Linked DNA regions of Arabidopsis thaliana. The protein of the gene in region 1 interacts with the protein of each later gene in a pairwise test. Each region holds a gene or a part of one and is shown on either strand. Other genes may lie near its edges.

What was found. Proteins that work in one complex are often made in the same cells at the same time.
Region 2: the proteins of TCTP (region 1) and AGO1 interact in a two-hybrid assay, tested with the Arabidopsis thaliana proteins (one study listed by BioGRID).

What each region holds. Positions count from the first base shown.
Region 1 is NC_003074.8:5,668,718-5,672,685, reverse strand, and holds TCTP (translationally controlled tumor protein), read left to right. Parts: upstream 1-1,843; 5' UTR 1,844-1,956; coding exon 1,957-1,984; intron 1,985-2,313; coding exon 2,314-2,387; intron 2,388-2,479; coding exon 2,480-2,766; intron 2,767-2,859; coding exon 2,860-2,977; 3' UTR 2,978-3,369; downstream 3,370-3,968. Other genes in the region: AT3G16650 (Transducin/WD40 repeat-like superfamily protein), read right to left, coding at 1-44, 267-332, 490-571, 837-939, 1,286-1,310, 1,423-1,553.
Region 2 is NC_003070.9:17,886,349-17,894,440, forward strand, and holds the start of AGO1 (Stabilizer of iron transporter SufD / Polynucleotidyl transferase), read right to left. Parts: upstream 6,249-8,092; 5' UTR 6,080-6,248; intron 5,553-6,079; 5' UTR 5,545-5,552; coding exon 4,909-5,544; intron 4,822-4,908; coding exon 4,613-4,821; intron 4,537-4,612; coding exon 4,387-4,536; intron 4,302-4,386; coding exon 4,162-4,301; intron 4,064-4,161; coding exon 3,954-4,063; intron 3,861-3,953; coding exon 3,754-3,860; intron 3,664-3,753; coding exon 3,525-3,663; intron 3,454-3,524; coding exon 3,337-3,453; intron 2,869-3,336; coding exon 2,761-2,868; intron 2,663-2,760; coding exon 2,591-2,662; intron 2,241-2,590; coding exon 2,118-2,240; intron 2,030-2,117; coding exon 1,867-2,029; intron 1,779-1,866; coding exon 1,519-1,778; intron 1,402-1,518; coding exon 1,259-1,401; intron 1,160-1,258; coding exon 1,097-1,159; intron 1,012-1,096; coding exon 948-1,011; intron 865-947; coding exon 729-864; intron 633-728; coding exon 559-632; intron 481-558; and 5 more.

The DNA of each region.
Region 1 (3,968 bases):
ATCTACTAGGCATTCTCTCCATTAAAGCAGCAGTTGACAGATTTCTGTAACACATAGAGGGGAAATGATGGACAAATAATGAATAACTGAAGCATTGATACAAGTTAGATGCATTTCAGGTTAAATAAATATGGCCAAATTTAAATTTCATGACTCTGAACCACCAATTCACCTTAGTGCGGCTTTATGTACCACCTAGGTATCGCAATCTAGATGTAGTGTCGTTATAGAGAGTCCATAAAAGTAGATAAGGATGCGACACAAACCTTTCGGAAAATGATCCAGGTGCAGGAAGAATGGCCGTGCTTTTGCCTGGATTACCAGTATTGTTCCTTCAATTCAAGAATCAATAATTATCAGTATCAATCAGCACGATAAGTAGAGCATCAATCACAAAGACAAAACAGGAATAACATTCTTGAGAATGTCGTAAATTATTTATACTAACTATATGGACTAGTCACATTCCAAATGAAAATGTATACTCACAAGTCTCTTGGCGGTAAAGTTGGACCAACAACTAAAGCTTTCTCTGTTGCGCTTTTTCGAAGTTCCTTGGACCCTTTTGGACCTGCGGAGAAAATAATTTGGTCTTTCAGAACGAGAAACAATAGTCATGAAAAAGGCTAAAAGATTACACTAACAGCGTTTTTAGTGCAGCAGAAGTTTGTTTGAAAAGATACTCTTAAGAGGATACATTACTGAAACTTGTTTTCCAATCCTAATTATAGACATATATGAATGAAACTCACAACTAATATAAATAGATATCAGGGAAACTAGAAAATAGGAAACTAGTTTTGTCTCACAACAGGAAAAACAGATAAAAGAACTACCTGGAAGCGCAAGGGCTTTCAATGGAGCCGTCTTTTCACTGTTATGGTCAGCAATACGTGTAGGCTTACTTGCAGGTTCTACGCCTCCAAATGCAACTTGAATCTATACAAGTAACGTCCAAGTCATTAACTTTTATATTCTACTTGATGTTCACTAAAACGCTTGATGCAAACTAAACATCTTACTATAAAGATGAGGGTAATATGCTAGAAAGCAAACTCAAACAATAGTAGCTGATGAGAAGAATCTAACTCCAGATAAAAGGTAAACTATAAAAGTGATAAGCCATTGACTGTTCGATTTACACCTTATAAAATTTTCTCAGGTTCAACGTCTCTGAAGCTTGCTATAAAGCTATCCATTATCAAACTCAAAACAAAGAAGAAGCGAACAAAATTTTCAACACGATCAAAGATAAAATTTAAAAAATATTCGAAAACCCCCTTACCTTATGGCAGAGCCGAATTCTTTTGCTGCGAGACAAGAACAAAAACAGACAAGAAGAAGAAATCGTCAATACACATAAAAATTCTGAGAAATTTCGAGAAAAAAAAGTGGACATTGCAAGCGAAACTGTTGATTAACCTTTCAGGATCAGGCTGAGGAAATTGGCCATGGACGGGGGAGAAAATTTCACGAGCTCGTCTAACAGATTTTAGACTGAGTTTTTTCAGTGACTGAGTTTCGACCTCCCTGTTCAAAGCTATCATCGTCATTCTAGGGTTTTACACGAACAATCAGAAACAGAACGAGAAAGACGGAAGAGAAGAGAGGGAAATAGGATTTTATCCGACCCGAACACTATTTATACGTAGCCCAACACTCGAATCCCCACCCGTTGGACCAAACCCGGCTCATTAAGCGTCGGTTCAGATTTATTTCCTTTATTTAAAAAAAAGGAAAGGGTAAAAAATAGAAAATTGGAAACAGTTAAAGCCCAAAATTGTAATTTACCGAGAATTGTAAATTTACCTGAAAACCCTACGCTATAGTTTCGACTATAAATACCAAACTTAGGACCTCACTTCAGAATCCCCTCGTCGCTGCGTCTCTCTCCCGCAACCTTCGATTTTCGTTTATTCGCATCCATCGGAGAGAGAAAACAATCAATAAGCGACCATGTTGGTGTACCAAGATCTTCTCACCGGTAAGCTCAATAATTCCTTAATCTCGGTATGAACTGTGTAGCTATCGATCTTTTTCTTCCGATCGGAATAAATCATGTTATCGAATTGTTAGATCTGTCATCGCATCATAGGTTTTTCGTTGATTTGCTGCTCTTTGCATTGATAATTCAAATCTTAGGGGATTAGTTTATGTGATTTGGTTAGATCTGTGATTCATTAGTATATAAACGTCCTTTAATTGAGCTTACCGATTCGTTGTAGATTGGATTTTAGGGTTTATTCGCTTGTATCGATTAATGTTTGGGATCTTATGAGTAATGACTAAAGAGTCTGGGCTATTGATTTACAGGTGATGAGCTTCTGTCTGACTCTTTCCCTTACAAGGAGATTGAGAATGGAATCCTCTGGGAAGTAGAAGGAAAGGTCAGTGTCATCGATTCTACTTCAAGTTTTGTTTTGATTTTGTTAAATTTTTGTTTTCCTGTTCTGAATTGGGTTTTGATTTTGTTATCCAGTGGGTTACTGTGGGAGCTGTAGATGTTAACATTGGTGCCAATCCATCTGCTGAAGAAGGTGGTGAGGATGAAGGTGTTGATGACTCTACTCAAAAGGTTGTTGACATTGTCGACACCTTCAGACTTCAGGAGCAACCAACTTATGACAAGAAGGGATTCATCGCTTACATTAAGAAATACATTAAGCTTTTGACACCCAAGCTCAGCGAAGAAGATCAAGCTGTCTTCAAGAAGGGTATTGAGGGAGCTACCAAGTTTTTGCTCCCCAGGCTCAGTGACTTCCAATTGTAAGTTACCCCAATCTATCGTATCTTGCTTGTTATACATGACATATATTTCATCTGAAATCTCATCAATGCTTGTGTTGTCTGATTTTACAGCTTTGTTGGGGAGGGTATGCATGATGACAGCACTTTGGTCTTTGCTTACTACAAGGAGGGTTCAACTAACCCAACATTTTTGTACTTCGCTCATGGTTTGAAGGAGGTCAAGTGCTGAGAGAGAAGCTCTCGTTGGGTTACTGTGGTCGGTCGCAGCGACTCTCTAAGTTTATGTTTCTTTATATTGTCCTGTGTTTCGTCGTCGTCCCCTATTAAAATTACCTGCCAGTTTACTTTTCTCTCTTCTTGTTTTCTGTGTTGGAAGATTCTCAAGTTATTTATTCCGCAAAAAACGGTTTATCATTTACAATTAGTTGAATTTTGGTCGTTACTTTTTGTGTTATTTGGTGTGATATCTCTTCAGCTTTGCTTTTCTAAATTAAACTCCCGAATCTCGAGGCATGTTTATAGTAGATGTCTAATAATTTTGGATTCAGATCTTATGGACGTGAATAAACGAGTGGGTTACTCTAACTGTTAGTAACTTTAAATCATGGAATATGCTGTAGAATGATTCTTTTGACTTTAGTCTAATGGTGTTTTATCCCTTTAAAAAGAAAAAGTTTCGTACAGACATGATGTCTTGAGACATCATCATAGGCATGTTCTGCTCCTTATCAAGGATTTCTATCTCACGTGCGGAATCGATACTAACTAGAGTTCTGTCATCTTGGTTTTAGTTGTGAGACAAATCACAATGTGGCCGTAATAATAATGTATTATGTGTATTCTTTTACTTTGACAAACAACACAACCTATCCTATGCTTTACTATTCTTTTAGTTTGTTGGTTTTATTATTCGAACTATTTATTTATGTATGTGTGGTGTCCGTATGGATGAGAGGGCAACCAAAATGCGTTGGTACGTATTTGTGTCTCACGTAAAAGGAAACGTGATTTGGTCTTGGTCGGTTTGACGTTGCTCCAACTCTCTTGTATCTTATGTATTTATCGTCATTATTTCTTCAAACTTTGTTGTTCCTTTCGTTTTAGGCTTTTAGCCTACACTATTTAAACATTTCTTATGTAACAAGTAGTATCAACTTCTATCTATATGACTATATTGACGTAGCCATACAAAGGAGGTAGATCATCTAAACTTACACAAA
Region 2 (8,092 bases), on another chromosome or scaffold:
TTGACATTAGGCCCGCGTGTGCTTCTACCAGCCATTCCACCTCCACGTGCCATGCTCCCACTAGCCATTGAGCCACTGTCTGATGTCTCTGGCTCCATGTAGAATCGAGCCCTAAAAGCTGCTAGATGTGCATAATATGCAGGGGGAACTACAATATCCCAAAACAAAAAAAAAAAACATTGAATACTAAATCTCTCTCTTCTTTATATCAAAATCAAGATGACATTAAGGGATGGGAAACACAAAACTTACCAATTGAAACTGAGCGTGTGCATCTTGCATACCTGTACAAATCAAAAAGGTAGTTTAAATGTTACTCTTATTTTCCTTGCAATCTTGCAAACACTTGTAACAAGGAATATGTTACAAAGGTAAGAAATCTTACGTGTAACATAAGTTATTGGTCAGAGATTGAAGTCCATCTGCAGTAAAGTTGTTCTCATCCCAAAGAACGTGGTAATGAGCAGGTCGAGAAGTGCCCTGTTAATGGAGTTTTGATTTGTTAAACACTTCAAATAAATTCTCACCCACAAACTCATTTGAGATTGTAAATTATACCTGAATACCAGCATGACTACAGAGGTAAAAGTCAAACTCTGTAGGGTGGCAGATTTTAGAGTCCACAACAGTGCCTACAATTAACAAAGGGGTTAAAAACCAATGCAAGGGATTTTCAGCTGATTAGGTCTACGCACAAAAAGCTTGACAAAGATCCAAACTTGTCTCACCAGGTAAAATATTCCCACTTCTGTCCACCGAATGGCGATCATTGTGGTTCTGAGCAAACAGCCTCGTGTGATGACGCTTCTGCACCACCACAAATGTCACTGGTGGTTGATAACCTGCTTCCAGCGAAGCACAGGCCTGAAATGAGTTGAAATAATAATCAGATTAAACAGAAGAAAACGAGCACGCAACACAAGCCATTTGTTAGAAGTAACTGTTACCTTGCGGATGGCATCAAGTTCATAGAGCAAAACTTGGTAAAATTGTCCCTCACTGACTCCATCCCTGTGCAGAATAACCATATAATACATTTCAGAAAGAAAGACAGAAAGTTATTTAGTCAAGTAAGTGCCATAAGAAGAGTTAATACCTGTAGAAGATGATCCTTAGTGGTTTATGCCCAGTTGATCTACGGAAGGCTATGAGCAACTCCCTGTTCAAAAGTAAGGGGAGAAACGTACAGATCTGTTACTTAAGAGCAAGCTAAAGCTAAAACCCAATCACGAAAATATTAAATAACATCCACACGTACTTTATCATGCCACCAGTCACCACACCTTTCTGAGGATCCTTCCACTCTTTGAACAGATCCTGAATGAGCTCCTGCCTATGCGCTTGAGCGCAAACTAATCCAGCATATTTAGTGATTTCAGGCCAATCCTGAGATGCCACAACCTGAAAACAAAAATTTCGTTGTCAACAAAACAAGCACAATTTGAAAAGGTTAAGGCCATGAAAATAAACAAAAGCATCCATATACAGAAGTAGATCTTAAAGGAGAAGCTAACTTACAGCAGCAATAGATGGGCTTGAATCCTCTCCAGGGTGAGGGTGGGTAACATCAGCACCAAATATAATGGTGGGTCGATCACTGACTAGAGGAATCCGCCTAGATAGAGCATCAACAAGCACTGTGTTTCTTCCTCCAACCTTCACATTAATCTTCAGCGCAACATTAGCCATGTATTGTTTGCTCATCTTAAAGACATGCTTTGTCAGGCAACATTGAGAGACTATGCCGAGTTCAGTCTCACATATGCGTTTCAAATCACCTGCAATGGATATTATTAAGGAAAATAAGTTGAGAGTGTGTTCCTAAGCAGAAGTAGACAATGAAACATCCGAGACCATGGCTCATACCGTATAATGATCCATTATTATCGGGCAGAATGACAATAAGCAGATCAATTTCTTTTCCTTGGGAGAGTTTTGATGTGGCATCATGATATCTAGTCTTCAAGACCTTCTCTACTTGCTCAGGGCGAGCACTGACTGGTGGGAGGACTGGTTCCGGATTAAATGCCTGCAGGTAAGAAATAAAAAATTAAAGGGAAGGAATCAGTGTAGGAAAGGTTAATAAACTGATCAAGTTTGTGCTTCCAAAGACTCACCATGCCAGATACGTAACACATTTGAGCAAGTTCCTGACAAAATGTACGCGCTAGATTGTCCTGCACTTGCCTAGAAAAGTTGATGCAGATCCAATTATTCACCGTTCCACCATTGATCATTTTCTGCAGAGAAGACTCATATTAGCCAGACAACAGAAAACGTTGTGATCACTTTCAAAAAATAACAAAGACAAATTCAGTGTGTATCTACATAGCTACATGAACAAAATACTCTCTGCAACTAGTCAAGTGCCACACCCATACTCATATCAAGAGAATAGCATTTTAGAGTAATATGTCTCATAACAGACAAATAAATAAACAATTTTCTTGCCAATTACCTGGAAATATACAGCTCAGCCATGATTTACAAAATATTCACATAAAAATGACAGCATAGGTATATATAGGTAACACAAGCAAGAAACATGTAAGTGCATAGTTGAAAACCAGGAACATTTTCGTCTAGTTACCTTATTCATCATGTTCCATTGACCAACTTGTGGCAGACAAGTCCCTTCCCTTCCAGACTCGTGGTACTTAAGCTGCAGAACATTAAAATCAGATTGGAACCCTAATTTGAGTCATTAAGATACAGAGAAAAAGTGTAATAGCAAAGAGACAATGGGAACGATTACTATACCCATGGAGGAGGCAGTATACGAGCCTCAACAGAAGCCAGAGAAGTACTTATTTTGATGCCAAACTCTTGAGCATAATTATCTTTAGCATAATCATTGAGTTGCACCGTCTAGAAATCAGAAAATATTGTATAATGTTAGCAATAAACAATTGAGTTTTCAACAACAGCAGCCAGAAGACACACGCGCTGCTAAATTAAGAGCACAACTCTGAAGATGGTAATCTGCCTCACTATTTATGAAGTAAAGGCATCATCTCAAGGTAAATCACTCTCTTCAAGCAAACATATGCATCCAAGTAAAGAAGAAACAGGTTTTTAAGCCATTCATTCCATAACATCCTTTCAGCCACAAGTTTATATGATTAAAAACAAGTTAGATATGAATTGAGAAAATCACTTACTTCAAGTAAACACATGCAACCAAGTAAGAATAAACAGATTTTACAATGATCTATTCCACAATGAGGCTTTATCACCAGCATACATTATTTAAAACGACTATCAAGATAGGCGGACAAAAAGATACTCTTGATTCAAGTGAAGGAAAACAAAGTTATCGAAAATAAAGAAACATACCTGTAAGATATCTTTTTCTCGATCTATCGGGCGCTGACAGGTAACCTTCAGCAAAGCAGTGATCTGTCTCTCATTCAATCTTTTGGAATACCGCTGGCCTTCAACAATCTTGCATACCTGTGCAGCAACACATTAGAATCGGAAGTACTGGTGAGCTAATAAAACCTGATGACGTATTTCAAAGTTACCTCCATTGGTAAGTAATTAGGCCTATTAGAATTCCCAACTTGCAAGCATGGTAGTTGAGTGTGCTGAATGCGAAAACCATATGTTTCGTGGAAGTATTCTACAACAGATTTCTGAGTATTTCTTTCATCTACTGGGAATCTGAAAAGGATAAAAACAGAGAGTAAAAATTAATTTCATCAAGTTCAACATTCGCGAAATAAGAGTAGTAAATCTAAAACAAATACGCACGTCAATTCCCGAGTGGCCACAGCAGTCAAACCGGAAATGCGGTACTTCCGGCGCATGTTTCCTCGATGAGTCACTTCAACTTTGACACCTCTAAGAGCCTTTTTTATCTGTTGACAGAAGAAGATTCCAAGTCACTAAGCAAAGAAGAGTAGATTAATACAACATTTCACTTACTACAGAAAATGACAATTGATTCATACCTTAACACGATCAGCATCAGATAAAGGTCGAGAAGAAATATCCCGGTTAAGCAAATCACAGACAAACTGAATCACAGGGTTTGCCTCTATGAAGGCTGTCGATGACATATCTACAAAACAGACAAAATTGCAGCACAACCATGAGTTAAACATTCAAGGAGAACCAGATATCAAAAATTATTGAATGTAATACAGCAAGCCATCACACCAATATTGAGTGATAAGCCCATCTGTGTAGGACGAATGCTTTGGTAGAATCCACGCCAGCTCTCCAAGCCATCCCCCAATGATTGTTTTTTTCCTATATCAGGGGAATAAAAGGACCGGCCCACCGGAATATACCTGATTCTAACATGTTAGCAAAACTAAACCAGCTGAGACTTACAAGCATGGTAGTAAAGAAGCAAACATCCATAGGATGAGTAACCAGTACCTAGAGGTCGGCAGCTCACGAAGAACAATGTCAAGAACCTGCAGAGCTTCCTGTGGGGCATCTGATTGTTTCCCCTCCAAAAACATTCCTAGGTGATGCAGATCAGCACGTGCAACTAGCTTGATCACAACTTTAAATTCCCTTTCTCGTCTGTAAAATAGGAAAGATGTTATTATTCTGAAACTTCCTTATTAAAAAAATCAACAAGAAACCATAAGAACTAGACCTTTGACCTCCAGCCCCTACTTCTTCGTCAAGAAGATTGATTCTGAACTCCTTGGAGTTAAAGGGAAGTGGACCAGCAGTGTAAAGACTTTTTCGACCATCATACGCTGGAAGACGACTTCCAAGGTGAGAATCACGATAATTATCAACAAGTTGTTTCATCACAGCACGATTGACACCCCTTGATGTAACTTCCGGAGTAATGGTAACCTAACAGAAAGAACACAGTTGGTCAGGTAAATTTATAAATAGACATTAGATGTATGGTAGCTAATACTAAGGGAACACAAAACTCACATCATAATGGTGCAAATCCTTATCAGGCAGTTCAGCAAAGAAATGGTTAGCCTTCACAATGCAACGCTTTCCACTCTGTCCTTTACCAGGCCTCATTGGAAACTTGAAAGCCTTGCTAGAAGAAGGTATAGGCTGGATTGCCTGACTGGGAGCTCCTTGTTCAACAGAGAGTTGTTCAAATTGCTGAGCCAGAACAGTAGGTTCTGGTACCTGGGTAGGACTCACCTCAGACAGTGTAGGCTGAGAAGACACCGCTTGATAAGTAGGTGAGGTAGCTTGATGCAGCTCGGGAACTGATTGTCTCTGCGGTGGTCCAGAAGAAGGTCCACCTCCACGGCCACCGCCATACCCTCCTCGACCTCCTTGATGAGGAGGTCCTCCTCTTCCTCTTCCTTGGTACTCTTGTGGTCCTCCATACTGTTGTTGCTGTTGTGGTGGTTGCCCATATCCACGACCACCACGACCTCCCTGTTGAGGTTGAGGAGTATAACCCCTTCCACCTTGGTGTTGTCCTCCTCCCTGCTGGAAACCACCTCGCTGTGAACCACGTCCACCACCTGAGACTGGACCAGCTTCACGAGACCCAGAGCCTTCACCTCCTTCAGATGGAGCATCCGTTCTTCTCTTTCTCACCATGATGATTCCTGTGAAAATAACACAACCACCCAAAAACAGTGGGTCATTTTAAAATTATCCTTGAAAATAAGAAGCAAACATTGAAAACAAGCACAAAACTATCGAAATATAGAAGCAACAGAAGAAAACCCTAACTAGCTTCAAAAACAAACGACTCAGAAGCACGAAAACCAGTGATTAGCTAGAGAGATAGAAAACCAAATTCAACAGCCCAAAGCAAACATAGAAAACCTAGTAAGAAACAATCAAAGACCTAAACAGAAAACGAAGTAAGAAAACAAGCACGAAACAGTAAGAAATTTGAAGCAACAAAAAAAAAAAACCTAAATATCTTCGAAGACGAACACACACACCAAAACAGCTACGAAGCTAATAGATCCGAAATCGCAAAGATCAACTAAACATACAACACTATCAGTGAACCATAACACCAAAACGAAGCGGATCCACCCAATCGAGTGGAAAAATCGAGTTCATACGCAGATCGAACACAGATTAAGTGAAGAACAAACACCAAAACCGCCGCCATTTTTACCTGAAAAGCAATCTCTCGCCGGAGAAACTAAGATTGACCGAGAAAATCCGTACGAAACACCAACCCTACGTCGCTCTCGCCTCTCTGTGTTCTCTCTATATCTTTCTCTCTCTCTCTAACTCCGAACAAACGAGATAACTCAAAGAAATGAGATTTTACTGCTACACTTTAAATTCAAGGGTTCTGTGGTTAGAGTAAGTTACGGAATTACCCTCTTCATTAATAGCTGGCATATGTCGACGTGGCGAGTCAGGGTTGGGTCTTTGGAATGCTGACCCAAGGTCGTGTGTAGTCTTTCATTGTTTGTAATGCGCTGATGACGTGGAATTGCATAATGTTTTTTTAATCCGGAAAAAGAAGCTTCTCGAAAACAACAAGACGAAAAACATTTTTGTCGTTTATCTACCAAATCTTTTTTAATTTATTTTACTAACAGTATATGTATTATCCGATTAAATATGATTAGTGTGATGCGTTACCTCGATTAATCTTCAAGAGTTAGTTGCATTAATTTAAATATTTGTTTTAGACTATAATATACCTCGATTAATCTTGTAAAGTTAGTTGCATTAATTTACTATTTCAACGAGAGATAATGCATGCACAAGTGTTCAAAATTAGTAGACCGGCCGTTATTAATCTTATTATTAATCTGTAGTAACTGATTAGATCATAATTTTTGGCTTACGTTACGTATAAAGGATGTTATACAGTTAAGTACAACAGTTTAAAATTGGTACTTGTGTGTGAAGATAAAACAGTGGCTAGAGAAAATGTCGTGAGTCAAGGCGACTGATCGAGTAGTACTAACGAATTGTACATTGTCAAGGAGGATTTTTCATGCAACGAAAGGCAAAATCATGCGAATTACGTTTAGTTTTATAGACTATATATAAGATAAAGTGAATGATTATAGTATAGAGGTGAATAGAAGAACTATTTATTAACTGAGATGGGTCATGGGTGGTGGGGCAAATATGAATATAGCCATTTACTATATAGATAACTCTCTTTCGTTTTCATAGAAATATGACCTGCGATTTCGGGGAAGTGATGCTTTTTTACAGGTTTGCCAATTTTCTAACTTTAGGAATGTGGTGGCTGTCATCACGTGGTATGATTTGTTTGTTTAATTCAATTTACTTTATTTGATGGTTAGCTCTTTAATTTAGTTTCACTAGTTGATTTGCTTCTGTACCTCAAAAAAATTCATATACTCGTAACAAATCTGTATTATATATAATTGTCAAAGATGATTTATACATATATAACAAAATTGGTTGCTCGTGCGTGAAGAAGAAATATGAGCTAGAGAATATGTCACGAGTAATTACATGCTGACGAAAGGCTAAATCTTGGGGAAAACGTTTAGATTTCTTTTTGTGATAACTGTAAGTCTATCTCAAAATGATTCGTTTGCTTTGGGAAATAATGATTCTTTTCATTATAAACATTAATTATAATAATCAAACGAGAAATTAAAAGGCGAAAGATTATAATAATCAAGCGAGATGTATAGAAGAACTTATATATGATTTCTCATAACGGAAGAAGAACTTAGAACTCGTCAAGTACTACTACCTCGAGAGTCGAGATGAAGATTAACGGCATATAAGCATTGATATCAATCAAGATTGGTGTACGTAATTACGGGCACCAACGCACATGCATGCATGGCGAGTCTAGCTAGAACCGATCGAAAACGTTGGTTTACGATGGAGGTTTGTGTTCCTTATAAGAACTACGTACAGTTTGGCTCATGTTTGAGTCGATTGGTGCGGTCTTGACGAGAAACGACTCTCACGGCTCGGTTCTCTTCTATAATCAATAGATGTTTTTGTACAAGTTTACGTTTCCGTGTTAATTAGGTGAAAGAATATCTAGACACTTTACCTAACAAAAGATTGTCTAGATCATATAGTAAGGTGAAAAAACATAAAGTTGTAGACAAAATATTAGATGTTGATTGGAGTTCTAAATCGAGATATTGTAGGAAGCCGTTAAGAGGAAGAA